Linked DNA regions of Coturnix japonica. The protein of the gene in region 3 interacts with the protein of the main gene of each other region in a pairwise test. Links are inferred from orthologs where the notes say so. Each region holds a gene or a part of one and is shown on either strand. Other genes may lie near its edges.

The links.
Region 1: the proteins of DDX6 (region 3) and zinc finger and BTB domain-containing protein 8A interact in binary tests that used the Homo sapiens proteins (3 or more experiments, as listed by UniProt). The two-hybrid records come from large-scale screens. The link is inferred for Coturnix japonica from reciprocal best matches to the Homo sapiens genes DDX6 and ZBTB8A.
Region 2: the proteins of DDX6 (region 3) and CEP70 interact in a two-hybrid assay, tested with the Homo sapiens proteins (2 studies listed by BioGRID and IntAct). The two-hybrid records come from large-scale screens. The link is inferred for Coturnix japonica from reciprocal best matches to the Homo sapiens genes DDX6 and CEP70.
Region 4: the proteins of DDX6 (region 3) and SIPA1L2 interact in binary tests that used the Homo sapiens proteins (3 or more experiments, as listed by UniProt). The two-hybrid records come from large-scale screens. The link is inferred for Coturnix japonica from reciprocal best matches to the Homo sapiens genes DDX6 and SIPA1L2.

Annotation. Positions count from the first base shown.
Region 1 is NC_029538.1:4,574,428-4,580,976, forward strand, and holds the end of zinc finger and BTB domain-containing protein 8A, read left to right. Parts: 5' UTR 1-424; intron 425-1,001; exon of another isoform or gene 1,002-1,349; intron 1,350-1,466; 5' UTR 1,467-1,488; coding exon 1,489-2,425; intron 2,426-2,827; coding exon 2,828-3,000; intron 3,001-3,390; coding exon 3,391-3,723; 3' UTR 3,724-4,110; downstream 4,111-6,549. Other genes in the region: zinc finger and BTB domain-containing protein 8A-like, read left to right, coding at 6,491-6,549. UniProt on the Homo sapiens protein: May be involved in transcriptional regulation.
Region 2 is NC_029522.1:18,784,390-18,792,688, reverse strand, and holds the start of CEP70 (centrosomal protein of 70 kDa), read left to right. Parts: upstream 1-3,552; 5' UTR 3,553-3,579; coding exon 3,580-3,685; intron 3,686-3,836; coding exon 3,837-3,960; intron 3,961-4,270; coding exon 4,271-4,451; intron 4,452-4,728; coding exon 4,729-4,898; intron 4,899-5,970; coding exon 5,971-6,030; intron 6,031-6,702; coding exon 6,703-6,802; intron 6,803-7,169; coding exon 7,170-7,258; intron 7,259-7,816; coding exon 7,817-7,891; intron 7,892-8,299. Other genes in the region: FAIM (fas apoptotic inhibitory molecule 1), read right to left, coding at 402-451, 1,538-1,766, 2,135-2,270, 2,801-2,844.
Region 3 is NC_029539.1:4,826,796-4,834,645, reverse strand, and holds part of DDX6 (probable ATP-dependent RNA helicase DDX6), read left to right. Parts: intron 1-239; coding exon 240-356; intron 357-1,552; coding exon 1,553-1,616; intron 1,617-2,654; coding exon 2,655-2,756; intron 2,757-3,394; coding exon 3,395-3,570; 3' UTR 3,571-3,574; intron 3,575-4,644; 3' UTR 4,645-7,850.
Region 4 is NC_029518.1:35,172,658-35,181,081, forward strand, and holds the start of SIPA1L2 (signal-induced proliferation-associated 1-like protein 2), read left to right. Parts: upstream 1-3,394; 5' UTR 3,395-3,663; intron 3,664-8,424.

The DNA.
Region 1 (6,549 bases), on a different chromosome or scaffold from region 3:
AAAGACATCGCATCTCCTCCTGGGGAAGCTGCAGATACGTTAAGGAAGGATTTGGGTCATTTGGGCCCGTGTTACACATAAAGGTGTGAGAAACAACCGGGACATCGCAGCCCCACCCGGACGGATCGTGTGTGTGTGCGGGACGGAAGCGGCGCGAGCTGCAGGGCGGTCAGACGTCGGGAGCTGCTGGGCTGTGGCTGCAGTCGGTGCGTTGCCCCTTTAATTGTGTCCCCAGCCCTCGGGCGTCCGTGTCCAACGCCCACGTCAGCAAATACCTTTTGTTTCTCTCCCGCTCGGGCTTCCAGGGCTCGGGGCTGCGGGAACGGGGCGCTGAGCGTGGCCCGAGCGGAGCCGGGGACCCCGCACCCTCCGCCCGCGCCTCCATCGCGACCGAGCGAGCGGCAGCCGCCCGCGGAACCCGGCGGTGAGTGGCGGCCGGGGCGGAGGGAGCCCGTGTGCGGGGCTGCGGGCGGGACGGCGCCGGGAGCCGCAGCCCCGCGGTCCGGCCGTGCCGCCGTTCGCCGCCGGGAGCCGGGCGGGCCGCGGAGCCCCGGCAGCGCCAACGGGCGCCATTGGCGGCCAGAAACCGGGCGAGAAGGAGAGAAACCGGGCGCGGCAACAAAGGGCGGCGCGGGAGCGGAGAGCGGGGGGGGAAGTGGGACTGAGCCGGGCGGGGCGGGCGGGGGCGGCTCAGGGACACGGCGGGAGCGGGGCGGGAACGAGCGGAGCCGGGGCCACGGGGCGGCGGGCGGCGCGTCCCGCACGGAGCCGAGCGGAGCCGAGGGCAGCGCCACGCGGGACGGCGGCCGAGGGCGCCGCTCCGTGTTAAAGCACCGGGAGCGGGGGCGGCGGCCCCGGGGCGGCATCGCGGCCGATACCGGGCGGCGGCTCCGCGCCTTGGCGGGCGGGCACAGTGCCGCCGGGCGTCACGGGCTGCCGGCGGCCGGTGCGGGCGGGGCGCGGTGAGTGGCGGCGGCGGCGGCCAATGGGGGCAGCCCGGGACGGGAGGGATGAGGCCGGAGCCGAGTTCCCGTTTCTGGTCCCTCGGGCGGGGATGGATTCGAGCCCGGCCGGATTCGGGCGGTGCGGGAACGGCAGCACCGGGCACAGGCCGCAGCTCTGCCGGTTCCCTCGGGCTCCTCGGGCTCCTTGGGCTCCTCGCCATGACGGTGAACGGCTGAACGGTGCCGCCGCGTTTCTCAGCCTCCATCTGAGGATGCTGCTGCTGCTCATTCGGAGCTCTGACATCGCTGCCAAACAGCACAGGCAGCCTCACATGGACTCGTTCCATCCTTTTCGAACAGCAATGCCTGGTGGTGGATATTGGGATATTTAATTCAAATATATTTGTGTGTTTCAATAAGATTATTTTTCAGAATATCCATTAAATGGGGTCTGCCGGCCTTGGCGAGCAGCGCAACGTGGAATTCACGATTGTAATTTGTTTTAATCCCTTTGTTTCCTAGAGCACAGCACATCTGCTTTGGGATGGAGATTTCGTCCCACCAGTTTCACCTCCTGGAGCAGCTCAATGAGCAGCGCAGGCAGGAGCTGTTCTGTGACTGCAACATCCTGGTGGAGGGCAAAGTGTTCAGGGCGCACCGCAATGTGCTGTTTGCCAGCAGCGGGTACTTCAAGATGCTGCTCTCGCAGAGCTCCAAGGAAATGACTCAACCCACCACCGCCACCTTCCAGGCGTTTTCTCCGGACACTTTCACAGTTATTCTGGACTTTGTGTATTCGGGCAAACTGTCTCTCACTGGTCAGAACGTCATCGAGGTGATGTCGGCCGCCAGTTACCTTCAGATGACCGACGTTATCAGCGTGTGTAAAACGTTCATCAAGTCGTCTCTGGACATCAGTGAGAAGGAGAAGGATCGATACTTCAGCCTCTCAGACAAGGAGGTGAATTCCAATGGCGGGGAGCAGCCGTGTCTGTACGGCGCGGGCTGGAGGGCAGAAAGCAGCCCCCCACATCCACAGCCAAACCCAGAGCAAGGGACGTGTATGAGGGGAAACACTTGGAGCAACTTCAACTACTATCCAGCTTCTCAAAGAAACACGCAGCAGCAGCTGTCCAAGCACGAGCAAAGGCAGGATGCCATAAAGAAATCCCGACACCCGGGACTGCAGCAACCCGCTGACATTCCACACTATAAATCCAGCAAACTGGAGGACAGGGCTGCTGAGCCTGCTGGCCACATTTCTCAACCTGAGGACCAGGTTCAGATTGAGGCAGAAGCGGAATCTCCTCACGTGGGGTTTCAGTATGGCCAGGGCTCCGATGTGATCTCCAGGCGCTCAGCCGTGTCGCAGCAGGAGCGCGACTCGCCCCGTCCTTCCAGCAAATCCAAGTCTCCAAAAGCAGACGAGCAGTACCCCAGCATGCCCTCCATTGTAGGTGTGATGGGAGGCTGGGCTGAAGGTAGGAGGGGGTCTCCGTGCTGTGTCAGTGAGAAACACACAGTGCTGAAGGAGCATTTACCAGAAAGGCTTTGTGTTTTCAGGGATGTAGGCTTGGAAAGCTGAGATCAACACTTGGAGAGTGATGAATGAGTGAAGTTGAGCTTTGCAAAGTACATATTCTTCATGTCTTAGAGCTACACAGTCACGATCGTTTTGGTTTGTTATTCTCACTGTAATGTTGCTGATAGCCCCGCTCCTTTTCCCTCGATGTTGTAATTTACACAAGAGCTGTATCTGAAAAGACCTACAATGTCTTTAAAATAGAAGCCATTTTCTGTTCTGTTTCTGTTGCTTTCAGTAACTGGAGTAACTAAACGACGGGTATGTTACGACTTCTTTTAAAACTCCAACTGTTTCCCAGCAGACGATCTGCCCAGGATGAGGTTCAAGTGCCCGTTCTGCACTCACATGGTGAAAAGGAAAGCAGACCTGAAGCGTCACCTGCGGTGCCATACAGGAGAGCGGCCGTACCCGTGTGAGGCGTGTGGGAAGCGGTTCAGCAGGCTGGATCACCTCAGCAGCCACTTCCGCACTGTACGTATTGTTGGTAACCGTGAGTTTCACTTGATGTGTGAGTCCATCTCAGTGTGATTAAACACAGTGCCAGCCTGTCTGGTTGATACATTGACTCCCGTAAAGAATAGGGAGTAGATAATTAACTTGGTTTTGCTTAAGTCCATTTGAAGCATAATTCCAATGAAAGAGGATGAGTTCCTTTGTTGGCTCACAAAGGCACTGCACTGCGTGAGGTCTGTAATGGGATGAAGTGCACAACTGGAGCTCCTGTGGATGTCTCGTGATTGATGTCTGACCGCTGCTCACAATGAGTTAATGCTGACATTTGATGGCACTCTAGCTTTACTTTTTGTCATTAAACGCTTCCTCTCTGATGCTGTATAAATGGATTCCTCTCAATTTTCCCAGATTCATCAGGCCTGTAAGCTGATCTGCAGGAAGTGTAAACGCCACGTGACGGAGCTGACGGGACAGGTGGTGCAGGAGGGGACCAGGCGCTACAGGCTCTGCAACGAGTGCCTGGCTGAAGCCGGCATCGACAGCATCCGCATTGACTTGGAGGCTGAAGCGCCCCTTGAATTTCCAGCAGACGGGGATAAGGATTCCAGGTGGCACTACGGGGAAGACAACAAATCCGATGTGGAGATCGTGGAGGACGGGTCGTCTGACTTGGTCATCCAGCAGGTTGATGACAGTGAGGATGAAGCAGAGGAGAAGGAAGTAAAACCAAATATCAGGTAGTTGTGAGACAAACACGAGTGCATGGAATTCCTTTTACGTGGAAATCCTGTCTGCCCGTGAGCCCTCCACCAGCCTGACATCTACAGAGACCTGCTGGCTTCTCTTGGACAGGGCCAGACTTGCATGTGTTCATGGACATATCATTGAGTCCATCCTGAGTTTTGCTATCGAAATCCCCATACTTTGCTTCATTAGAAATAATGTGCCCTCAATGGAGTAACGGCTGATCCCGGAGGCTGAAGTACAAGGACGAGGTTTTACGGTACAGTGAGTCTCTTCTCAAAACCTCTTTCAAAGAGGTGAGGTCTAAATGCTTACAAAAGTTGCACATCGGTGTAAATTACTCTTCAGCATTCAGAAATAAAGATAATTTTCCATGAAATTTCATTAAGTCTTCATATTATGTCATGATTAGAAAAGCTAGGCAAAGAATTAAGAAAAAGCATATAAAAATGTTTAGCATGTAACTGGAAAAGCATTTTCTTGTCAAACTTATTCCCTCTGAAAATGGGGAACTCAGTCTGAGATGTGTTGTGTTTGGGCTGGAAGGGGAAAACTGTGTCAATGCAGGCCTGAAACCTTAACTGCAAACAGCAAAGATGACACTATTAATTCCTGTGTACTCCAGGGAGTTTCTAGAAGCAAAGGGATTTCTGGATCAATACCCAATTTAATTAGATATTGTACATCTAAGAATAGTGGGACTGGATTCTTTAGGGAAAAAAAAAGATGTGAAGTGGCTACAAGGGGCAAATGGAACAATCTGCCCATAGGAAGACATTAAGTACAGGCAAAAGAATTACTGATTTGCCCTGGTGGAGCAGGGTTTTATTGCTTTTATACACCTTTATTATTCTCAGCGCCATCCCTAAATGCTTGTAGTCATTTTTAAAGTATCTTCTAAGCCTGGAGCTGTAGCTCCACACTGCAGAGCCCACAGCTCAGTTACGTTTTGTATTTAAAAGATGACCATTTTACATCTACCGCTTTACTTTCAGTTGTTTCCTTGTTTTTGTATTACAAGACAAGCTGAATTAAGTGCCTTATATCTTCCATGCTCTTCATTTGACGTATCCAATCATATATTTTGTTTGTTTTCCTCTAAATTAAAACAATGCTGTTTTATTTTCTTTTAATCTCCTTGCATTGCATCTCGTGATTGCCGCCTTCACGCTCCTGTAAGAACCACCAGCCATTCATGAGCATAAATAACATTTTTATTCCAAAAAGGGAAAGCAAAGACCATAATGGGCTGTTACCAGGAATTTAATTCACTGTCAGGAACAGATCTGAATATTGCTTTTAGAACTGCCAAGTCACACAAAAGACACTTCATTTTATCCTTAGATGCTGAAGGCGGCTTTCAGCTGTTTTCACAATTAAAAAACCCCACAAAAAAAGCTCCAAATGAACAAACCTTTCAAACTCTGGACGTATCATCGTCCAGTTTGGGATACACGTTGCTCCAGATAGGAGAAAAAAAGGCAAAACCATCCATTTATTGTGAGCTGTGAAATAGTTACGAGCACAAGACCCTGCAGCAGAGGCTCAGTCAGGTGCTGACCCTGTTACACGCTGAATCCTTTCTTTCCTCCTGGCTCTTAGACATTCCATCCTCCAGGACTTTGGGATCCTTCTCATTTATTTATCCATTTGCAGTAAAGCTTGTACGAAACCCTTTTCTGTTACGTATAAAGCTGTTATGGGATACATGACAGCGTTTCTTCCTGCTCACTGTCGAAGCCTCCCATGCCTCAGCCATGTCAGTGTCTTCATTGCTCATGGTTTGGTTTTGTAGTTGGTGACTCTGAACTGCAGATATTCTAAACGGGGCAAACAGCTCCAGATCTTCAGCTCCACTTATTATTCAATTTGACCTTATTGAAGCTCAGAAATGCCTGATCAGCTACAGGAATCAGTGTCAGTGTCTGGACCCCGGGATCCCTTTCAATCTCCATCCCTGAGCATAACAACACACACCCATTTGCAGCCCTTTGGTTCTGGATGTCCTCCGTTGTTTGAATACAAGACTTTCCTGTTACAAAAATGCTGCTATTGAATAAAGGAATCCATCCTACTCTACAGACTACAAGTATTTCCCATTCAGGTGGCGCCTTTGCGGTGTATGGGGATGGTAGCGGGCTCCCATTGCTTATGGGTGTGAGGGCGGTCAGACGTCGGGAGCTGCTGGGCTGTGGCTGCAGTCGGTGCGTTGCCCCTTTAATTGTGTCCCCAGCCCTCGGGCGTCCGTGTCCAACGCCCACGTCAGCAAATACCTTTTGTTTCTCTCCCGCTCGGGCTTCCAGGGCTCGGGGCTGCGGGAACGGGGCGCTGAGCGTGGCCCGAGCGGAGCCGGGGACCCCGCACCCTCCGCCCGCGCCTCCATCGCGACCGAGCGAGCGGCAGCCGCCCGCGGAACCCGGCGGTGAGTGGCGGCCGGGGCGGAGGGAGCCCGTGTGCGGGGCTGCGGGCGGGACGGCGCCGGGAGCCGCAGCCCCGCGGTCCGGCCGTGCCGCCGTTCGCCGCCGGGAGCCGGGCGGGCCGCGGAGCCCCGGCAGCGCCAACGGGCGCCATTGGCGGCCAGAAACCGGGCGAGAAGGAGAGAAACCGGGCGCGGCAACAAAGGGCGGCGGGGAGCGGAGAGCGGGGGGGGAAGTGGGACTGAGCCGGGATGGCGCTGAGATGGTGGAGCCTCAGAGCTGCGTTAGCTGTGATAACATGCAGAGATTGCGGGTCTCTAAATACAGGGCTCGACTCTTAGAAGAGGATGCAGCACCATTCGAGTCGCTTTCCATCATCACAGCCGTTTGTTTCTTGCTGTAGAGT
Region 2 (8,299 bases), on a different chromosome or scaffold from region 3:
AACTTTCAGTCACAACTAATGTGAGCCTGTCTGGATGAGGTGGCTCTACAGTCTGCATCGAACTTGAGTCCCTCCCACTCTCCTGAGCATTTTCTCACTAGAAACCCTGGACAACCGACCCAGAAGGTTCATCTGTCCAAAAAGCATAGCAGCGTATATTTTTATATGGACAGACTTATGGCATCTTAAATGGTAATCCAGGAGACAAAGTATTCTGTTGATTAATACAGTAAAGAATGAATCAGCAGCATACAGGTCAAGGTATACCCCTGCTCCACACCCAAATGACACAACATACTCCTTGCTGCGGCTTAGTGAGCACATCACAGATAAGCACCATGGCTTACTTTGGTTACATTAGAGCCACTGGCTATGAAAAACCTGTGGAAATGATCACATACCGCTGTCTCCATTTTTTCACCGTTGCACCACACATCCATAGTGTCCTTTTCTGTGAATGAAAGAAAAAAAAAGGTAGAAAGGACTCTCCCTCCTCCTACAGACAGACTTTTAAATAATTATGAAGAGAAGGATACCAGGCTACCTCTTGGCACTGAACCTGCCTTTCTTTCCCCCCAGCATCTTTATCTCAGGGCAGTTCATTCTGTCCTTGGGCTCAAGAATTAACCACAGCCCAGTGTGTCTTGTGCCCTTGTGTAACCATAATGCAATACCAAAGTGGAAGTTTCACCACTAGATGGCATGGACAAATTCCTCAGTGGATCCCTTCCTCCATTCTTCTTGTAATGTACTTTGGAAAAGGGGGCAGAGGAAAAGAAATCTTGCAACTGATAAAGTATGCAAACATTATCTGAAGGTTATAGGTTAAGACCACAGTTAAGAAGCAGTGCAGAAAACAGCATGCTGATTAATCTATGAAAAAACAATGAGTGACAGCAATACACCTCTTTTCACAACTCCTTAACTTTGGCTTACGGTTTGTAAGGGAAATTCCAGTTATTGAGTTAATAAACAACAGTGCTGTATAAAACTACACACAGGTATAACAAGATTACCATTTTTCTGCCTGTCTTTGTTATCTAATTCCAACATTCTCCAAACCACACAGGGTTTTATGCTGCAACAGTGCTAGCCACTCGTAGCAACTGGACAGACCGATACCATGCAAAAGGCATTACAATAACAGTGTGATGACAGAAGAACTGGCACAATAAAAAGGTGCTCTAAAGGAATAAGACTGCTCACCCATATCAGAAGATTCCAGGTTCACAGTGGAAAGCTTCACCAAGAAGGGATCTCCAGAAAGAGATCCTCCCCCAGCAGCAGCCAGCCCTTAAATGAGGTCTAAGAGAGGCGCAGTCAGGCTCTACCCCTGCTGGTTGTAGGGGTGAATTGCCCTCACCTGTGCTCCCAGGGCTGACTGGGTCCTTTCCCCAGGTGCTCCATCAGTGTTTCAGGCCGTGACTCAATAGTCCCAATACACCACTGAACTATGCTTTCTCTTAATTACCAATTACTAAATGCATACAGCTACTTTTTGAAAGCAGCGAAATGAAGTCATTCAGTATTTACTTACCCAGAACAATTCTATAGTCTGTACCACCCAAGCTCAGTATCCAAGTGTTGGTTGTTTTTGACCTGTTCTCCATATATTTCTTGGGGCTTTTTGCATTGATCTCCAAAGTATATTCATGTGTAAAGCCACTGACTGCATCGATGTTAATAGTAGCTCTTGTTTTGGACGCTCTAACAGTGAACGTTTCTTTACCCACCAATTTAAACATCCATTCTTTTCGTATCTCTTCCTGTAGATGAAAACACAGACAACAGGTATTAATTGATAAACCTGAGAATGTGTTTTAGTACTTCAGAAAAGTGCACCAGAACTCAGGAAACAGCCCAGTACTTAACTGCCTTTTTTACCCGCAGGTGCAAACATGGAATACTTTGTAAATACAGAGCGCCTCTGCCCAAGGATGGCAAAGCACTTCACCATACTCACACCTTAATTGTAACTGAGACAAAATATGATGTTCATTACACGAGGTAAAGTCAGCCAACTGAATATACCTCACTTGCACGTAATAGTCTATTGTTTGTTCTGATGACTTCTCTATGGATATACACTTATATAATCGTATTACAGTGAATGTTGAGCATATAGCAATTTCACCTTTCCGTCAACATAGACGACACGCTTTCCTGTAGTGGTCCCGTGCTCAAATTCAATTTTATGAACGCCATCACTTAAAGCTACTTCCCAAACAGCCACCAAATCTGTCATCTTCTCTATGTGGCCGTACCGAGACCTGTGGAAACACCAACAAAGTCAATTAATTGTCATAAGTTTACACAATTACTTGCACGTTCTTGCTTTTAAAATCATTCAAATATGACAAAACATCACAAAAGCAGGCAGGTAAGCAGGCTCGCTCTGACAAACACCATACAAAGATATATACCCATCCAAACTCCGGAGCTTCCAGTTCAGGGGGCAGTATAGTTTAAAACTGTACTTAGGATTCAGATGTTCCTTGCGGGTAAATTTAAGCAGGCTTTAAAATGCAGCATTTCATTTGCTCTCTGAGTAACCCCTTCAGCCTTCTGAACTTGAGAAGTAGTTGTAACAGATAAGCTCATCACCTACTGATTCTAGCAGAAATATTACCTACATCATTTGGGAATGCAACTCTGCACACACAAACACACACAGGGAAGGAGACTGGAAAAGATATCCTTCCATTTAGAACACGTTTAATGTTTGGTACAGCCATAAGTGACCACGGCAGTGGGGGATATCTTTCCAAAGGCCGTACGGGCTGCAGCTCTGCTGTTTTACCTTACTTCTTCTTCACTGAGGGTAACCTCCTCGCGGGATGCCATAGTAAACAAAGGGCTTTTAATCCAACCAGCAGCAAGAAAAGAAGAAAAGCAGGATAGCAGCTAGGAATGCTGAGAATGGATGGAGTTATGACTAACGGATTTGTTTGCTGTGACACAAACATCATTTTCCGGACACAAACTGGTTTTGTGTAAGAGCACGAATGACGAATGAAGAGCACGGCTGTCCTGTAACCACATCTCTCCCTTCAGCTGTGAGGGAACCACACACCCGCATTCCATGAGGCTCAGCACCAACACCAAAGCCACCAACCAGGACTCAAACCGCCTCCAACATCCACTCAGGCCCCTGAACTCGTCCTACAGCGAGTTTACAGCCACAGCCTTTATTTCTGCATTACTCCGCGACGTTCCCTCCCCCATCACTCACTGCCATCCTCACAACCCCTCACACCCACACCCCCCCCTCCTACCCGCCTGCCCCGCTCCGGCCGCGCGGGTCCCTCCTCCCCTCCGCCTCAAGATGGCGGCTGCCCGCCTCCCCGCGCTGACCGTTACCGCCCCACGGCTCAGAGCCCGCCCTCATCGCCCGTTCGGCCGCTTACTTTCCTTGCCTGCTCTTCCTTTCCCTTGGCGGCTCAATATGACGGAAGTATCGCGGTAGTGACACAAAAGGGCGCCGAAGCAAAGCAGAGCGTGTCCGGCTCTTCAGAAAGCACAAATTCGGCTCACTGCATCCATTTCCCCTTCTACCCGGAGCGTCAGCGTGCCTTTTGCATGCCTCAGGTTTCTGCCTCTTCCCAGCTTCAGCAGGAGGAAACGGAATGGGAGACCCTCAACACGCTGCTGTTACGCCATGGAATGGTGCCCATAAACACCCCAGGTAAGGAGTGCTGGTGGTGGAGGTCCTTGGGCAGCAGACATGAAGTCATGAGGTGCTGCTGAAGCCATCGGTTCCATACAGTAACGGTGATGCCATCTTCAAGTACCAAAAGCTTTTGGTTAAGGCGTTGTTTTATGATGTGTGCTTCCAGATGTGATTGCTTTGGACAGTCAGGCCTCTCTGGGAATAAGACTTGCATTAAAAACGTTATTGGAAGACACCGACCGACAACAGAAGATGATGTACGGGCTTATGGAGACTAATCGTAATCTTAGGTAAGGTGCTGTGAAGGGAATTTGCAGGTAGTGCAAAGCAAAAAGCACTATTGCTGCCCGTTTTCTGTCACATCCAAAGCCAGAGACCTTTTTCTTGAGACTTTTGTGCTATATGCAGCAATATTGGCCCAGATCTCCTTGAGCTGTTGTCTGAACTGCATCTGCTCTTGCTTCCCATAGTGGCATATTTCCTGTGCCTGCTGCTGCAGGCTGTTACTGGGCACCATCGGATAATATTTGCCAGGCCTGTGCTTCTTGCAGTGCATTTAGTGAAATGAGTTTAATTTAAATCAAAGATTTGTGTTTCTAGAGATGAGGTACGACAGGAACGAGGTCGGGCATCTCGACAAGAGGAAAGGGCTAATGAATTGGAAAACGTGGTGGAAAGCATTAAGGCAAAAATCCGTCAGCTGGAAGATGAGACAATAGCTAAAGTTTGCCGGCAACAGAATCAGGTCAAAGAACTTCATAAAGAACAGATGGATTCACAGGTAAGTCAGTCTGCAGCACTCAAACTTTTGACTTCTTTTGAAAGCTCACATTGGTCCAAATAAATACAAGTCTCATGTCAAACTTCATATGCTATTTGTAGCTGATTTTATGTTTTACAAATAATTTTCTAGTAATAAATTGGAAAAAATATATGAACCCTTCTTCCACTGGCTGTTTGATTAAGCTTTCTTGGGACCAAGCACCAAGTGTGGGTTGGTGGAGCACCATCTCCAGCCTGTGAGTTCAGTTCAGAATGCTCCTGTTATCTCTTCACAGGCAAAATACCAACAGCAGCAGGAAAAGCTGCAAGAACAGGAGGAGATTATTGCCCGTTTGCAGAGGGAGCTGTGCAAAGCTGGGCTGGAGGAGCAGCAGCGTGTTGCCACTCAAACCGAAATGTTCTGCCGGTTTTGCAAGAGAGCTCCCAAGTCCCTTCTAGATCAGCAGTAAGGAATTTTGTTATATTGGTGAATGACTTGTAACATTAAATGAATAAATGGATTTTAAAGTGACGGTTCTTGATACTTACATGGGAAAAAAAAAACAAGTTGGAGATGTTAGTGCAAGCTGAATGAATGCATGGCAGAAGGTAAAAATTCTCGGCCTCTGTATCCACTAGGTGTCAGCAAAGAGGGCGGAATGGCTTATTCTGGAAACTGCATCTGCTACAGTGATTTTGTTCTGGGACTTGTAACGTTTAGAATGTAAATTTAAATAACAAAGCAAAAAAGCAACAACAACAAAGACAGCTCGGGAAAACAGCTTTTGTGACTGCTGACTGCAAGCAAACTCCAGGCACTTTGTGCATGTTCTGAAAGCCTACATGTCCTGCAGTAACTCTGTTTTTCAGCTATAGTCAGAGACAGCTGACAGCTTCTAGGCCTCAGGTGGCTGTTGCCTTACTGTGCTGGTGTGGCCTGGTCCATCCAGGTCTGCCTAGGATGTTTACCTAGGAGAAATTTTAGAGGGATTGTGTGCCTCTCTCTGTTTCTTATGCCCTCATTAAACAACAAAAAAAGAAGCTCTGAGATTCGTTCCCTGACATTTCTCACCTGTACATACAAAACAGAAAATCTCAGAGTGGTTCAAAAGGAAATGCTGTTTCTCACCTATACGTTTTTCTATGGCTTTATTTCCTTGCAGCCATTTCCTTAGAAAGCACTTGTAGTTTCTCTGGAAGTTCTTAGGCTGTGTGTGACCTGTTCTGTTATATCACCTCCAATGGTCCGTGCAGCCCTACAGCTTAAGACTGTGACAGCTTGTTAAGCTTGCTGGGTGAACATAGCCATGAGATGTAAGGGCTGTCAGGAGGATTTAGCTTTTGTCTCCTCTTGAGTCATTTTGCCACTTGTAATCTAATAGGCATTTAATGTCTCTATATTTCTTTTTTTGGAAAACTGCGACTGATATAAGGGAGAAACAGTCACTTTTAAAATACAGTGTAGCTGTGTAAGCTATCCTGTTCCAATAGATTGGTAACTATATCTTAAGTTCAAAATACCATTTTTCCTTTTTCAGGTTTCTTTGTCTAATCGATTATTATGAATCTCAAATTAATCAAATGAAAAAGGAGCTACGGTGAGTCTCATCTAATGCCTTGTGGTCCTACTGCTAAAAGTTTTCTTTCTCCTTGTTGTTCTTAAAGCTTGGAATGGCAAATGTTCTATTTTCTAGATGTCACTAAAACATAAGAAACAGCCAAACACTGTAATAGTCTTGGAAGTTTGGATTAATCCTGGAAATTTCTCTCAGTCTGAGCAGCTGCGCAGTCAGGCCATACAGCCAGGAGGGCATTGTATTTAGACACATGAGCTATAATCCTTTGTTTGTTTTTCGGCTTTCCCTTTTGTAGAGGTTTACAGGCAGCACTACTGCATTAGCTATGCACAATTCACCCGTTTCCTAAAAAGAAAGAAGGAAAAATAAAAAAGAAATACCAGCTTCTCAGCTCCATCATATTGCTTACATGATACAGAGAAACAAGCAGATACCTGAGAGACATTCCCATAATTTGAGATTATTATCTAGAAAGCTGAAATTGGATTTGCTTGCACTGTAATTTCTCTTGAGGAATAAATGTACTCAATTAGTATATGAAACAGCTTTGCAGAACAATAGAGAAGACCAGTGACAGTATTTCTATTGTGATCGTAGTTTAGTGTATGGAAATTTTGACATGTGTACCTGCAAACTTAGATCTTTGTGCCAATTGAATTGCAATAAGCTGAAACAATTTATTTTCCCTAACAGGCAATATAAAAAAGCTGAAGATCATATACAGAAAGAAGTAAAAAGCAAAGAAAACTTCTTAAATCTGGATGCTACTCCAAATTACAGAGCGCTGCTCACGGTATGGAACTGCTAAGAATAAGCCCATGCGGATCACTGAATGGTAACCCGTGAAGAGCCACACAAAAATGCATGTGTTTGGTTTCTTGTCTGCTTGTTTCTGTCTTCAAAGTTCGTAAACTCTCTGGGCAGCATTCACTGTCTTCATCTTATTATGCAAAGATTGAGTACTTTGCTGTAAAGTTCTCTGCTTCTCCACCTGTGGGCTATACAGCAGGATCTTGATCTTAAAGAGGTCTGTTTCCTCACTTATGCTGTCTTATAATATAAAGCAAATGGGAATCTTTCTTAGCACCTGACATGCTTGAAAGTGTTCAAGCTTGTTGATTACAGAATGAATGAAATTAATAATACAGTGTTTGTTGCAGTCTTTTCAGAATCAGCTTGTTGAAACAAAGGCCAAGAATGAACAACTTTTGCTTGAAAATACAAATCTCAAGAAAGATTTGGAAACAAGGTGAGAAACGTTTTTAAAAGCACATCTCTAGGCTTTGCTTCACAGAGAAGGAAACTGAAAGTGCAGCAACTGTAGAAGCCTAGTGTCAAATCTGCCTTTAAAATCCATTCATAAAATAATTAGCATTTTAATAGGGCAACAACAATCAACCTTTCCTTCCTACACTGCTAATAACAACAGCTCTTAGTGTACGCTGTATTGTCTTGGACAACTGCATTGATATTTACACTTCATTGAGCTAGGGCAGGAACAGTGAATGTGGGCAAAATGGTTCTTTCCACTTTGGTAGCATTACTGCCAAGCCTGACTTCCACTTAAAACCTGCTGGACAGATAGAGAAGCAGGTGGTTTTAGTAAGAAAGCCTGAGCCAGCAAAATTGGTTTGGGTGCTATACTATATCTATTTTACAGTTATTGCCACATGTAATTTGTTGTAGAATTTCATTTCCAGTATGAAGTTATGGCACTAGTAAAGCTTTCTTACTTTTTCACCTGGCTGAATTTTATAGCCGACTTTCAATGCAAGATAGATAATGTGGTATGTTTTCTTTCCAACAGACCAACTGAACAGGAATTAAAACTTTACAAGCACCGAGTGAAGAAACTAGAGAAAACTTTAAAGAAAACTATCCAGTAACTATTTTTCTTCAGTAACTTTCACGAATCCTCTGAACTACATAAAGGCAAAGATGCTCTGCAACCAATCACATAGATAGCAGCTTACAAAGCACGTACCTTATATCACCACAGTCCCTTGGAGCCTGGGTCATGGGCAGCAAATGCTTCTGCATCTCCAAAGATACCCTGTGAATCTCTGAAGTGGTGGCACAGTGTCCAAATTGGTGCACACCACTGTCTCTTTGTAGTTCCATTTTGCCTTTTGGGATTGGAGTGTTACCACAGGCAGTATAGGCAGGACCGATACTTAAACAGAAGTCTAGTAATGACAAAGCGTCAGCCTGGAATTTCACTTAATTATCTGTGTACACGTGTACTGAATACTATATATTTTTATCATTTTACATTATCTGAAAAAGACAC
Region 3 (7,850 bases):
GATGACAGGTTTTTCCATGACAAAATGTACTAATGATGCTGTGAGCTAGAGTTAAAAATAATTCTTATTCTGCACTTTTGTGCTACAGAACCTTGAAGTTTTTTTCCCCTGTTGTTCAGAAATATATGTTATGAATTGTTTGTAGCACCTGTTCTCTCTTTTCGAAAGGGATTTAGATGCATGCCTTAGATTTGCTGTGAAAATTCCATGTTTACTGAACACTCTGATTATATTTCCAGCTCCAGATCAACCAGTCGATCATTTTCTGCAACTCCTCTCAACGGGTTGAATTGCTAGCCAAAAAGATCTCCCAGCTGGGCTATTCCTGCTTCTATATCCATGCTAAAATGAGGCAGGTAAGTACAAAGTTACAGCAGTTGCTATCTGGGTTCTTCAGGTTTATTTAAATTTATGTGTGCTGTAAAAATGTATTTTGCTTTAGTTCCACTTTGTGTCCAGACTTTTTTTCTGCTCTTTCCAAACTGATCAGTTGGTATTTAGGAATACAAACAGAGCAGTACTCAGCCAGTGTGAGCTCACAGCGTGACTTGGCAAGCAGCACATCTTGCTCCACGGCTGTAGGGGAATCTGAGAAGTCAGGGAGACAGCTTTGATCAAAGCTCTCAGTGAAAGTACCAACTATTACTGCATAGCAGTTTTGCACCCATGGCCTTGCTGTAAACATGAAAAATAGCAACATGGTTTTGGTGCACAGGGATTTATGTTACTTGTAGAGTAGCTCATGTACTCAAGCTTCACACTATAGCTTTCCTTGTTAGCTAGTGAACTTGGAGACACTGACAAGAGGTTGAAGTGATGTGTGGAAGGTGGTAGGACTTTGAAATATCTTACATTTTGTATGTAAACTAGAACAAATTAAAACGACAGCTTTAATGGACACCTGGCTGTTCATTGGACTGACAATACGAACCTTTGCTGGGCTATATATGGAGCAGTAATTTAAGCAGAAAAGGAGCTGATGTCAGTGTTGAGAACACAGCTGTGCAGATGGATTGCTTGAGACCTGGTTTTCATTTCTCTTATTTTTATCTTTCTGGCAAAAAAAAAATGGAGGCATCGTTATTTGAGTGGGACACTGCAACTTGTTCATTTCACTCTCTGAAAATGAAACTGCTTATTAATCTGCATAGTCCAGTGTGGCTTGTTAGTGAGAGAATAGTCTGCGCAGGCACTTGGCTCATACCATCACTGATTCAGTGGTGGAAAATGCTCTGCAGTGGAAAATGGAGTTACTTTGAGTTTTAAAGGAAGGATGTTTCCAGATTTTATGTCAATGCTCATGAATATATTTTTAGGATGTAAGGTATTAATATACAGCATTTGGCATGGAGCTAGGAGAGATGATAGTCAAAACACTGGGAATGAAAATAGACCTTGGGAACAAAAGAAGTTTTGGTATTAAGAGGCAGAACAAGGAGTTTAGACTCAGCTGATATTCATGAAGGGGCGAGCGTGGGATTTGTGGTTGTAAATTGAGCACTCAACTGAAAGTCATAACTGTTCTTTAATTAGTTTATTTATGTGTTTCCAGGAGCATCGCAACCGCGTGTTCCACGATTTCCGAAATGGCTTATGCCGCAATCTTGTTTGCACTGGTAAGAGCCCCTATGCATTTCTGAAGGTTGTGGTAGAGTAGCCATTAGCCCAGGTATAATTGATGAACTGCTTAGTGATAAAACTAATCTGTTTTAGTAAGAGAATTTTTGTCATACCTGTGTGTAGCGGGCTGCAGTGCTCCTGTATTGCAGAATGACCCGGGTTGGAAGGGACCTCAAGGATCATGAATCTCCAACTACCCTCCCCCGCCACAATCAGGGCCACTAACTTCCTCATTTAATACCAGCCCAGGCTGCCCAGGGCCACATCCAACCTGGCCTTGAACACCTCCAGGGTCGGGGCAGCCACAGCCCACATACCACTCTCAGAGTAAAGAACTTCTCCCTGACATCCAGCCTAAATCTGTAGGCATACAGGCTTTCTCTTTTTGGCAACCTGTGGTGGTGCAGCTTGCTAACAAATCCTTTCATTGTGATGATAATTTGTACTTCAGTTATGTTTTCTTTATGTTCTAACATTTGAGTGTCCTATAAATTGTTGGATATGAAATAGTAGAAGAACTGTAGGTAGAACTGTGGCTAGCATTATTGAATAATGATTTACTGATTCTTCATCACTTCCCAAATGCTTTGCAGTTCTGATTGGTCTGTATATGGCCTGAGTTGTATCTTGGCTGCATTACTAAAACTCACTTGAAATGAAACAGAGATAGTTCAGTTGATGGGACGTAGCTCACATTTCAAGTCTGTTGTAAAATGACAGTGTGTGCCTTATTTGATAAGATGCTTATATAAAGCTGACCGGCTCAAAAATAGTGCAAAAACTGGCTTCATGAGAATTATTTTTTTTACCTAGAACTGAAGATTTGATGTCTTGATCATTCGGTTTTTATTATGCTTAACATGGATAAAGAGCAGGAAGAGGCTGTAACAGAATTTATGTCAAATGTTTTGATACACAGAAAGGGCTTGTCTTTAGAAACTAGTGCTAACCAACATTCACAAAGGCTAAATTTCCCAGCCCAGCATTAGATTTCATGGAAGTTAATGTTCTTCATGACTTGTGTTGTCTTTCAGATCTGTTTACCCGAGGTATTGATATCCAAGCTGTGAATGTGGTGATAAACTTTGATTTTCCAAAGCTGGCAGAGACTTATCTCCATCGTATTGGCAGATCAGGTGAGAGGAAAAACATGTTTTAGGGACAGCTTTGCTGATAATTGTAATATTCCTTATGCTTTGATTGGGTTCTGCTTTCTATCACTGTACTGATAATTATTTGGAATAGCTTTTTTTCTGATGTTTACTTACAGGGATGATGGCATAGGATTTTCTTCACAAATACCTGAGTTAATGGCCGTGCTCTTTAAATGAGCTTGAAGAGCCTAGGCCAAAAATAAAAAGAAAATGAGGGAAAAAAGCACCTTTTGCTTTAATTTCATGGAACTCGCCAATGCTTATTGTTTGCAGTTTAGGAAGATTCTATATTGAAAACTTAATTTCTGTGTTTTTTAAAGCATAGTGTGTTTTGTTTGTTGTTCTGCTTGTGCTCCAAAGTTTGTTTCTGATGTCTGGACAGCTTCCAGATATATCCCTGATGATGACAGTGAAGAGTGGAACTCTGTTTACCTCAAGTTCCACACTGCAGTAGTGGAAGACTTTTACTTGGTAGTAGAAAGTCCTTATCAGATGTTGATGTGAAGCTTGCAGGGGTCCAGGTTGACTTTTATAATGAGAAAGCGATGTTAATAACACCTGCAGAATCTGCAGGCTTTTCATTTAACCTCCTGTTACTCAGTTTAAATTTCTTTTTTGAGGTCGCTTTGGACATCTTGGCCTGGCCATCAACTTGATCACCTACGATGATCGATTCAACCTGAAAAGTATTGAGGAGCAGCTGGGAACTGAAATAAAGCCCATACCAAGCAACATTGACAAGAGCCTTTACGTGGCAGAATATCACAGTGAACCTGTAGAAGATGAGAAACAGTAACCATGTGCGTATGTGCTGACTTGAGTAGTTGTGTTGGAATGTCATTGTGGGGGAAGAGGGGAAACTGATGTGCTGAAGAGTCTTGGAATGTGAAAACAAAGGTTTGAAATAGGCTGTCAGAGGAGATGAGGAGAATCCTGCTTGGTGACAGGATGGCTGTGAGCAGCCTAATGAGTTCTTTCTGTATTTCTTAGCTGAGCAGTAGGGGCAGAAAGTGATTATCAGGAAGGTGAGGAGTGAAAAATAGGTCTCTTAAGAACATAGCACCAACAGAACAGCCTGTTCATCTCAGCAGCTGAGAGGAGCAGGTTCAAGCCATAGGTGCCTCATATTTGTTTTGCATTCTTTGATTCATAGAACTTCTGCAAGTAAGCTGAGTAGGTAGCAGAGCTGTAATTCATCTTCATTGCCACTTGAGGTCTACATAGCATTAAAAGAAAATGAGGCTTCTCTGGCAAGGACTTTGGAAGTGTGACTTTTTGATTGCTGTCTGAGGGGAAAAAAAAGGCTGAGTCAGTTCACAATCCAAGGAAGCTGTTATTCTCACAGCAAATAGAGGGTAATATTTCATCTGTTACTAGCTGAGATGCTACAGACCATTTGGGTTGAAAGGAGTTTTGTAGTGCATCTTGTCTTAGAGATCATGAATTAAGAATTCTAATGAAGCTGCTGCAATTACTCTCAGTTAACAAAAAAATTGCCAAAGAAACAGTCTGTTAATTAAAATGAGAATTAAAGCAAAACCTGTATCTCTTTGGAATAACTCAAGGCTAGCCCCAGCCAGCTGGTCATGTCCAGGTGACTTGTGGCCTCTGCTTTGCTGGCTGAGCTTTCTCCATGTTTTAAAATAAATAAAGCAAATCAAACTGTGAAGCTGGGCAAGGTCCTTGGGCGGCTTCCTTGGGGGGAGAAGTTGGGTCATAGTGGCACATCAGAGGGACAGTTCTCGAACTGCATCCAATGCCGGCGGCTTCTCAGGAGCTGCCCTGCAGTCAGCATGATTCATTTCTTAGCTCTGTGCAAAACCAGAACCTGACTTAATTGCAGGTGTTATTTGTGTATTTATATATTCAGGCTTTGACTACATATGCCAGAAGGTGAAGCCCTTTGATCCACATCTGTGACACATCATTTCTCTGGGGATACCCTTCTCTTTGTGGGTTTTTCTTCGTCTTTTCATTTTGGAACTATGAAGACTAAAGAGCTCGGCCTTTTTTCTTTTCAAATTTGGCAGCAAGGAAGAAAGAAGATGAAAGGAGGAATGGCTTTTTGTTTTTCCACTCGTTTGCACTGTGTGCTGATTGAACATTAGTTGCACTAACTGCTGGTTTTAAATTGTTTTTTCTTTGGGTGGGAGGGGCAGCAAGGGAAGAAGAGAAACCCTGAAAAGAGAAGAATCTTTGAACACGAGCTTGTCTGCGATTTCAAATTCTCCAACCATCTACTGAGTGCATTTCAACTTCTCCCTGGTTACTCATCTGTTTTTAAGCTAAAGAGCTTCTTACTTATTCGTGCAAAGTGCCTTATGCTATGAGACCATTCAGAACATCACCTTTCCGACACAGCCCGAGGAATCAACAGCCGTTTTTGGTTTCAGGTCAAAGTTCCCCTCTTTTCCCCCCTCTCTTCCTCTCCAAGTACTCGAGGCCAGGGCTGTGAGGTGAAACTTATTGGTAATACTACTTTTGTCTTCAACTTTTTTCTTTTCTTTTCTTTTGTTGTTCTTTAGTTGGAGGAGTTGATATGCATCTGCAGTTCACCCACACTGTAAATACCTGTATTTAAAACAAAACCAACTTAAAATCTGGGCTGATTAGGTGCAGCATCGTAGCTCCAGAAGGAAAGAGTAGCCTGTCATCTCTTGCAGGAGCCATAAGAAAACCCCTATGCTCTAGCAGAACACTAAAGACTGGTTACCATAAGTCTCCATTAGTAGTTCCAGCACTTGATACGTAGACTTGTTTCAGAGCTGTGGCCCTCTTTCCTCTGGTGCAGTGTGTCCCATAGAAATTCAGATGTGTATATTGTACAAACTTTGTAAATAATTTTTTTTTTTTCCTGTTTGGGTTCATATATAACTTTTTTTTTTTTTTTTATGAAGGTTGCTGGGGTTAAAGGGATGTGACTGATTATGGGAGCAGCTAAAGATGAGAGGGGCTCAGTTTTCTGCAACACTAAGCGATGAGAAATGCTCTGAGCTCCAAGCAGAGCAGGCCTCACTGCGTGTCCCTGGTCAGGGTGGGTTTGCTCCGGTGTTAGCAGCGCTGTTGTACCACTCGTGTGGAAGAGATTACTTGCAAGGCTCTGAGGTCTCAGAAGTCTGTTGCTTAGCTTTGTGGAGATACTCTTCTATTTCCCCCTTAGAAACTTCAGGAACTTTACAAGCTCTGAAGGGTGCCGTGACCCGTGTTCTGCATGGCACGAGGGGGATCCGGCGGGTGTCAGCGTTGCTGAGCAGTATCTGCGTAAGGTGTGGATTTGGGTTTAAAAGAAACCATAGGAAACCGAGACGCATAAACGGACAGTTCTGGAGCTCGATGGGAACGATTGATTTCCTGCAGCGTTGTGTATTTTCTGCCCAACACGACCTCAATACAGACTTCTGGTGAGCAGGGAAAGGCGAAGCCCGCCCTGTAAGTGTCAGGAGCTGCAGAAAGCTGCTCGCCACCTGCTCTGTTTAGGCACGAGTTGCTGTCTGTCACTCTGCGCTGTGTATTGCTGGAACACTTTCTGGTCAAGCGGTGTTGCTTTAAATTGTGCCCCTCCCACCATGCTTGATGTTTGGCCTGATCTGCAGGCAAAAGGAGTGAGACAAATCAAACTGTAAACTTTAAAAATTCCCTTCTAGCCTGTTCAACAACAGCATCAGGAGGCACCTGGATGAACGCAATCCCTTTTGCTCATGTATTGTGTATAGCGATGCCGCACTCACACTATGCTTGCTTACTTTGAGGCAGGAATTAATGAATTGTCTTAATTTCTCCCTTTATTTTTTGACCCCTCCCACACTTTTTGTTTTTTCCTTTTCTTCTGAGTATATTCGGAACCAAAAGGCAGACTTAACCTGTCCTTTGCCTCGAGGAACACACACACCAAACCAGGTGCCTCCTGACAACAGCTTTACAAGATGATGGAAAGGGTGGTTTGTTTGGGGTTTTATTTTTGTTCTGGTTCTTTTTGTTTTCGGTCAGCAGTGACTCCGTAACTGTAGCAAATGCTGCACTAGAGTACAACAAACTCAAGAGCTCGGCCACAGGTAACTGTGAGCCACACAGCTTACATTTGACTGGCAGGTACTAAATGTAAACAACTTTGGGGTGCTGGGAGGGGGGCGGGGGGTGGGATTTTGTGGGTGGTAACTTTGACCAAAAGTAAAACCTTGCTCTTGTACTGCAGCCAGCTTAGGATTATTTCCAGAGTCAGCAGAGGGATCATTTTAGTGCGACAAAGACATGGGAAGTGTAAATAAAAGCTTTGTATCTTGCCAGGGCACACGCTTGTAACAAGAACAGGATAGCAGTGTTGAGTGAGGTGCGTGTGCTTTGCTTTGGATGTGGGGTAGGTGAGCCCGGTGCCATTCTCTGATGGTCCCTCTTGAAGCACAGAACTTTTAAATGGAAAGTATTACTATAAACTTGGCCTCTTGTTGAGGACTGGCACTTACCTGACATGTCGGGGGCACCATTTGTGGGTTGCTTCCAGTAACGCAGGAAGCAGCCTATTCTTGGTGCTAAATAGACGATCTCTAACAGATGCGATCCAGCAAATGGAAAGATGCTCCAAATTGACTAGGGTAAGCCTAGGGTTTTTTTCCTTTGTTTTTTCTCCCCAGGATTAATTGCATCTCAATCTTCTAGAGATTCCTTGTGACACCCTGCTCTTGTTCTAGTCACACGCCAGCCTTTACACTTATGCGTTACTTGGTCTCTTTCAACAGAGGAGCCCTTGGGCCAAATGCTTCCTCTGTCAAAGAGGACAACAATATCAATACAAGCAATTCTACTTTTTTTTTTCCTCTCCCAGAAGTCTAAAACGCTTTCAGTTGAGTTAAAATGGCTGCAAGGAGATTGACACCAACCTGCAGCCAGTGTATTTTCTAGGCTGGCCTCAGGGTGTGCAGCTGCACAGCGCAGTTGCTGTGAGGGCTTTCCCTGCACGGGGGGTGGGGGGTGGGTTGGTCTCAAATACATGTTTTAATTTGCAGAATGAGATGGGAGCATCTTTCCTTTGCCCTCTGGGACTTGTTATTGTTGTGGGTAAGAACACGGAAGCTCGATATG
Region 4 (8,424 bases), on a different chromosome or scaffold from region 3:
TTTCCTCCATCTGAGCTTTCAAGAACAGAGGACGTTTTATTTCACTGAATCGCTTATAGTTTAGGGAATTCACTGGGACAAAATACTAGCAATGTAATAAATTGTGCTTGTGCTCTAAGAGCAGTGTGTGAGATGGGTCCCTTACAGAATGTGAGTAACTGGTTTCACCCCTAAAATGTCCAAAGGAAAGGGCAGGTTGGGTTTAGAGAAGCAAAATCCACCTTCAGCCTATACCCTTAGGAGCAAGAAACTGCCAAACTGCTGTGGTTACTGGGAAAAGCATTCATGTGTCCCCAGGCTGCTCATGTGGCTCCAAGGTTGCTGGAGCTTCCAGAGCCCGAAACCCTGGGTTTGCCTGCAGTGCCAACAGTAGCACCAGCCTGTGGATGGCTTGGTGACTCACAAGGAGTGCAGAGCATGTGGCTGCTTCTTGCAGCTTTCCTCCAGTGTGGCCAGAGGGAGGTGAGGTTGCCTTAAAGGCTTTGTAGTGCAGCTCACTTTATTAAATGCCTCAGAACTCAACTGAGCAATGCCAGCGAAGAGGTTTTGTGAGGGAAGTGACATCTTTCAGCATTAGAGAGACCTTGTGCTCAGCGCCTACTTAGTTCAGCAAGATTCTAAGCTTGTGCCCAAAGCTGAGGAAACAAACCTACATTTTCTTCAGCTTGCCTATTCACGAGTGCTTTGTGTCAGCAAAACATGCCTCATCATGTGGCTACCGGATGTTTTCTTCACCTCCTGCACCATTTCCACAGATCCCACTTCAGCCCACTTCCACCACAACAAATGGGACAGTCAGTTTTTGGTTCTAGCGTTGCCAGCAGACTGCAGGAGGTGCTGGATCAACTCCCTGTGTGTTGACAGCATCTGAAGGCTGGCTTCAAACATGGTTGAGCTGAGTAGGCTTTGCCCCTACTCCAGAATTTAATGTGAAGGGGCAAGTGAAGATGCTGCTGAGATGTGTTGGCATCCGTTCTGATCAGAGGTGTCTGAGCTGTGTCCTGTGGGATGTCCTCTGCCTGACTTCTGTTTGTGTGCTCTCTGGCCATTGGCTGAATTGTTATGGTATGCTCTGCATCCATATTGTCTAAGGCCAGACTGTTCTGCTGCAAGTGATCTATCCCATATCTGAAGCAAATGTCCTTTAACAGACAATTCAAGTGAAATACTGAATGAATTAGAAGCTAAAGTTTCCTCTTTCTCCCCACTTTTTCCAGTTACATTTTTATGTATATTGGTTTTTAGTGTGGGCAACGTATTCCTCTTCTCATCACATGCTTTTGTGCTCTCAAGGCTTGAACAGCCCTTTACTATTTTAAGAAAATCCTGTTTACCTCTTTTCACCTGTGCTCTGCTTTCTGGCCCTTGTTCTTCTCTTATTGACTCCTCGAGGGTACACAGATGGTAGCCTGGAAGCCAAATGGAGTGATTCGGAGGGACTGTGAGAGGGATAATTAAAAAAGGCAGGGAAAAAAGAGGGGGAAAAGAAAGCTGTGCTCACAGACTCTTCTAACAGCAAAACCCTGGTGCGTATCAGTGTGCTGGATCTTGTCAAGATGCAGGTAATAAATAATTATGGGAATGCATCCTACACACATTTGGCTTGTTGGCTGTAACCACGTAGACCTGTTCAGTGAGGTAGAACCATTCCATTCCAAAGCACCTTCTGTCAGCTGGGAAGGATCTGCCCATCCACACACAGTGCCATAGGTAGCCTGTGGACGTCAATAAGTAAATACAAATACTCTTAGCACACAAAATATTACCGCTCTGTCACCTGTTAATACAGCATCGTACCACCTTCCTACGTTTGCACGTGAAGTGTAGCCAAGCTCATAAAAAGAACACTGTAGCTGGGCTGACGATACAGGCTGCAGAAAGCAGCCGCGGTGGAGGCGGCTCAGTCATTAAGCAGCAAAGGGAACGGGCAGAGCATAGTGCCTGCGCAGGGGACACCTAGCGGCGGCTGCTAAGCTGGGGAGCTGCTCCTCTGCAAAGCGCTGGGGCTGCTGGAGGGGACTCCTCGAGAGGAGATAGTTTTTCTGGTGATTGAGTTTTCCTTCAGAGCGAGAGGTGCAGAGTGAAGCGTGGCTGCCAGCGAGGGGGGTGTAGTCAGCAATTGCTATGAGGAGTCTGAGCTCCAAGAAACCAGCTGGGTTTTGGAGTGAAGGAGATTATCCGCGGTGAGCATCCCTGTAAGCGCTGCTATGAGGAGAGCTCGGCCAGCAGGGAAGTCACAAGCAAGTGCTGACGGTCTCACTGTGTGTTCCTTGCACCTCCCGTAATTCCCTATCATTCCGCTGACTTTTCCTGGGCGAGCTTTTAAAGAAGCGAACTTTCCAGGAAGGATATGGTCTATTATATGATTCAAATGGAAGAATACAGTTTTGTCCACTTGCGGTTTTGGGGTGAGTTTTATTTTTAATGCATAGTAGGCTCACAAAATCATAGAAATGCTTGAGTTGGAAGGGTCCCTTAAAGGCCATCTAGTCCAACTGCAGTGCACAGGGACACCCTGCAGCTCAGCCCCATCCAGCCTGACCCTGAGTGCCTGCAGGTGTGGGACATCCACCATCTCTTTGGGCAACCTGTGCCAGCGCCTCACCACCCCTACAGTAAAAAACTCCTCCTTATCACCTGAAACGTGTCTTGTCCTGGGTGCCTCGGATGTTTGGCATACACTTGGCTGTTCCTTTCTATTAAAACCTTCCCCAGCTCCCAGCACGGGGTGGGCAGTGAGGACAAGCTTGTGGGGCAGCAGAGCAGCATTGCAGGGCAGCCGGCCGCCTGCACTGCACCAACCGGTGCGACCAGAACAGTACTTGTGTGTGAGAGATGGATGCAGGTGGAGGGGAGAATGAGCAGGAGGGCTAAGAAAATGAAACAGCACGGGTTGTCCTGTTGGGTTCTGTCGGAGCAGCCCTTATGTCCAGTGATGGAGCTGGAATGAGATGGAAGCAAGTGCGTCGGTGCCGATAGTATCTTCTGTTTTGCAGCTTCCGCGTGCACGGCTTCTTGCAGAACTGGCCGCAGAATCGGAATAGGGAAATTCAAATCCCCAAACCAGACTTCGGTTTGCCTACCAGAACGCGTTGGAGGAGGGGGAGGAAAATGCGTGTGCCCGGCCGAAGCTCATTTGGCAGGCAAACTCCAGCGCTCCTTCCCTCCGCCCCACCTGTTGCCGGTCAGCCCATCCCAGCCCAACCCAACGCCAAAACGCCCCGCGACCCCCGCCGGGGGAAGGAGGCGGCCGGCACGCCGCGGGGCGGGGCCTGGCTGTTCGATTGCGCGACAGCGTGAGAGGCCAATGGGGAGTTAGGGCTCCCCCGGGACCGAGAGCGGAGCCAATGCAAGGCGGGGCCGGCAGGAGGCGGGGCTCGGCTGCGTGCGGGGGACGGAGGGAGCGGGCGTGAGCGGGGCTGCTCCCCGCCCCTCCCTCCGCCTCCCCTCCCGTCCGGCGGCGGAGAGCACTCGGGAGCCAGCGCCGGGCAGAGCGCGACGGAGCAGGAGGCGACTGGAGGTGGAGCGGTCACCATCCGGCTGGTTGTGTTTGCGGCTCCGCGCCCCGAGGGACGGGTGGAGAGGAGGAGCGGCCAGGGGGCAGCGGAGCCCGCGTGGGCGATGGGGGTCCCGCGGTCGGAGCGTGGGCTGCAGCGGCTGCAGGTAAGGGAGGGAGCGGAGCCGAGCCGGCCGCCGACGGGGCGCCCGGGGGGGGATCTCTGGGGACACGGGAGCGCTTCTCCCCGCCGGGTGCCCGGGGGGGGGGGGTGGGATCGGGTCACCGTGCTGCGTGCTACGGTGCTCCGCTTTCTCCGGGCTCTTGGGGCCGAAGGGCGGCCGCGGTCCGGCGCGGCGCTCGAGGGGACCGCTCGCTTTCCGAGCTGCACCGCGATCCGCCACATCCATAGAGCCCGGAGAGCGGCGCTGGGATGAGAGTCTCGGGGAGGTCACAGCCTCATGGGGAGCAGCTCTGCTCCGGCACGGGGCTCCGAGCTGCGAAGCCCGCTGAAGGGATCGTGGCAATCACGGAGTTAGTTTGCTCGGAGGGCTCGGAGCGGAGCTGCGGTGCGGGGGGCACCTCGCGTCGGGGAGAGCGGAGAGAGGCTGCTCAGCCCTTGCTGCTTCCCCAAGTGGATTTCGTGCTTTTTACTTATTTACCGCATACGAGGCTCAACCTGCGTTTCAGTCCGTATCCTTCGACACTCTTTGTTGCCGTGTGCTCTTCAAGGGTGGGTGCTGCATCTCCCGGCTCATCGCTTCGGTTCGTTATGTGACAGCCCCTCGGGATGGACTGGACGCGGATCTGTTCTTCCGGCCCTGTCACTGTGCGTGTCGGTGCGGGTGTGCAGGCAGCGCTCCTGACAAAGACAACTCCGAAGTTGCCAAACGTCAGGTGTGGTTGTTAGCGGGCACGGAGCGGGGCAGGGAAGGCGGATGGGTGCCGGGTCGCTTTAATGCGCAGATAGCTCCAATGTCTGCTTTCGGTCCGGCTTCCCTAGGGAAATGAGTTCGGGTTTTCTGCATCATAAAAACTAGAAGTTAACAGAGAATTGCTTACGTTAATTTTCCTAAGCTCTTTTGTGTGCGGCTTTCACTTCTACGAGTTAACGCTAGATGGCTTTCTTATATCAGATATCCCACAGGGAAGGGAAGCGTGTCATCTGTTTCTGCAGCCTACTATTTCTGGTTCTGTCTATTTTGTTCCTTCGTGTGAATAGTAAACTGTCTTCTACATCAGTTCGGTGCTGATGGGAGCAGAGCAGAATTTAGTTTGCTCACTGGCTGACATCATTCACCGATCTGATCAGCTTGTCTTCATGTTTTTGGTCATTATTTTCTACGTGCTGCTACCAAAAGCTAAAGGAAGTTTTCTTAGTTGGAAGATAGTTCTGAACAATATTTACATTTCTTTAAAGGAAGGCAGCTGGATAGGAAAGGTTGTTTGAAAATGGAAAGAAACACCAATTCACTCTCAGTTATTACTTAGTTGGACTGCATTTCAAGAAGGACCACAGTATATTTGTCAGCTGATTTGTCTCCGGCTCGTATCCGTAACTGCTTTAGACAGAAATATTTTAGAGCTGGCTTCAGGAACACGGTGCATCGCAGCCTGTTGGGGATAGGAATGCGTAGGCCTGATGCTCTGTTCATCTTGTTCTTCAGTCTTTCCAAAGCTGTGCCTGTTGTCAATGCAGTCCAGCATTTCCTCTCTGTTTGTCTCTTTGCTGCTACCTCTGAAATACTCGACTCTTACATTTGATCTTTGAAATGTGTTTCATTATTAATGCAAAAATGTTTAAATCATCAAGAACGATGGTGCGTTAGGGATATTTAAACATCACTTAAGCTCCACAATAGTTTATTCATAATTTATGTAGCATTCATATAAAACAAGATCACGGGGAAGGCTCTGAATGTATTGTCTTGGTTTGGCAAGTCCATTGTGGTAGTTTACCAGGTCATGCAGCACTTTAGATGTAACAAGAAGGAATATCTACTTGTAAGGATGCCAGGCTGTTTCACCAATCATGTTGGATCAATTAAAGGTGTCATTTGTATATGCCAAGGGTATGATGTGAAACCTAGAGCTAAATGAAACCTCATTATTTATATGTTTCCAGCTGGTATTTGCTTGCTGTGCCAATCAGGCTGTTCTTTAAGGTTTCTGTTTTGTTGTCATAAGAGAAAGATAATTCAGTCTTTCTTGTGGACACTTACTGACAAGCACTATTACTCAAGTGCATTGTGAAATGTTCTTGCAGATGTCGAGTGAAACGAGGAACTAAGCAAAGCAGTGGTCACACAGGCAAAGCCTCTTTTTCTGCCTGATGACCCTTACAAGTGAACTGAGGCAGTTCTTTCATCACCATCAGCTTCGTGTTGGATGTGGTAGTCAGGCATTGCCCCTAAGATTGTTTTGTGCAGAGCAGCAGTTCTGTCTGCAGGAGGATGTATTTGCTTGTTGCCTTAACTGGGAATAAAATTACGTTTAGGCAGCTCGCTGTTAAGATATTACCGGTAGGTTCATGCTTTTTACTGGTAAGCGTTATAGTTTGGTAATAAGGAGTGAGAAGTGTATCTTGCATTTTCCTACTAACATTACAAGTTCCTGGTTGTGGAAGGAGGGTGGGGTGCTGGGTTATCTTGTTTCTCACATTAGTCATCCAAGATTACCTAACATTGGCCATACTGACAGCTTGAAATGAAGTCATGGTTTGATGAATGTTCCTTTCTCTTTCACTGCAGTTTTTGCTTTAAAGTGTTTTACTTCCATATTCCATTTGTGCTCAAGCTTGAATGGTTGTTTGGGCAAGCTGCACTGTGAAGCAGAGGAGTAAAGAGGAGATGGCTGACTATTTGTTGTGGTGCTGTACTTACAGTAAAAACATATCAATATGCTAAGCAGCATCATTTGCGTTAATCTTTAAAACATCCTGCAAAGTTAAGACAAGTATCACTTCCTCTCTTTATTTTTATGAGGAATTTCATCCTCTTATGGTTCAGAAAGTTTAGGCTTTAAGTGCACCTCAATATTTTTCTGCCCTGTTTTTTGTTGTTGTGTTGTTGTTTTTTGGTGTTTTTTTTTAACTGTATAATTTTGGGCAAATAATGTAATAAGTGTCTACCAACCTGAGAATCCAATGCCAAGCTTTAATTGTGGAATTTGCATTCAGTAGATAGAAAAGTGCTAAACATACTTCTCTATTAAAGAAACACTAATTATTTTTAATACAGATTGTGTTAAGAATACCATAAATTCTTCATAACACTCAGCAGTGGTGCCATATGACTTGAATTTTTATTATTTTTAAGCTTGGACTTCATATGAATTAATCTCCTGAATGTGTAATGAATACAATCAGCAGCTGCTCCGTCTTTTTGAACCCACCAGCAAACAGCCTTCGTGGATCTGTCGTGAAACGTTTTAAGAATAGTAGGTGTTTGAAAGGAAGTGGGCATTGTTTTGGTTACTGTTATCTGGGGAGTTCTGTATTCTTGAAGAAAATGGCCTGTACTTGCTAAAGAATAATTCTGTTTATTTGTTTAGGACTAAGAGATGTGATGAAGAAAGATGCTGTAGTGGGAGGAGGGAACCTCTTGGAAATAAGGGAATCTAGCAAGCCCTGAAGGAGAGGTATCAAGCTGTGCTGTAGTAGCTAGGAAGGCGGCGGTAGCTGAAGTTTTTCTGACATCCCCTCCCCCTCAGCTGCTCTGTGAATTCAGATGCTTAAATGAAATTCTGAGCACAAGACTTGGAGTTCTGCTATTGACTCTGATTCTTTTCTTACATAATGTCTTCATTTGTTGCCCTGCATCCTGCAGTGTGACATATCCAGCTTTGCAGACATTTGTATAATCCTCCCATAGCGTTTGCCATTCCTTCATTCTTTCCCCTCTCCCTTCACTCCCTGTTGCCTCCTAACTTCTCGCTGGCATGGTGCCTATCGACTGTGATGATGCTTTCTGCAGCCTCATATTTTGAAGCACAGGAATTTCAAAATACAACTAACCAGACTTAAGTGATACAAAAAGGGGTTGATGGGATTTATGTTAGAGGATACATAACACAGATACAGAGCTCTGATACGAGCCAACAGTCTGGGCTTCTGTTTCTCTTTTGGTTCACCAGCCCTTATTTTAAATCTGATACAGCCCATGAAGCTGTTTTCCTTTGGTTTGGGGTTTTTGATTTTTCTTTGGTCACTCGCTTATTGTGTATGTATGAGAGTGAAAGGAAATTCTAAACTACTGTTCAGTTACCCCTGTTTTGTCCTTCATCTTGAATTTTCACACTTATTCCCATCACATCTGATAAGTTGTTAAAGGCTATGAGAATTAAGTGGCAAGTAAGGGGGATAAGAACATAAAGGGGAGTAAGAAGAGAATATGGCTTTGTGTAGATGTTATAAATGCACCGAGTATTAAAATCCTTGCTGCTTTTTTTTTTCCTTGGGGGAGTAGAAATGAATTCTGCAATTAATGCATAGTTAGCAAAACTGTCATTGCAAATGAGTGTTCTCTTTCTCTGTCTCTTACATTTTGTGGAGGAGGCGTTTGTGAAAGATAGGATATCTTATTCTGTGGTCTTTTTTTCTTTGTTGTTGGTTTTTCTTTTGCTTGTTTGTTTATTTGTTCATCTAAGAGCTAATCACATGTTCTTCCTCTCTGATTATTTTCATTTGTGGTTTTCAGTTCAAAGCCAATTATTTCCTAGTTTTAGATACCGAAGGATTTTGTTTCCTTGGATGTTCTTTAAGTATTTTTCTAGGTTCTCAGCACTGAAAAGTGAATACTTGACATGTATTGCAATGTGAATTCACTTTAAATGTGTGTGACATAAGGTGTGTGTGTGTGGGGGGAAGTGGGAACAATGTGTCTTTGTATATGCATACATCCTCATTCATAATGTGATATAGTATATAT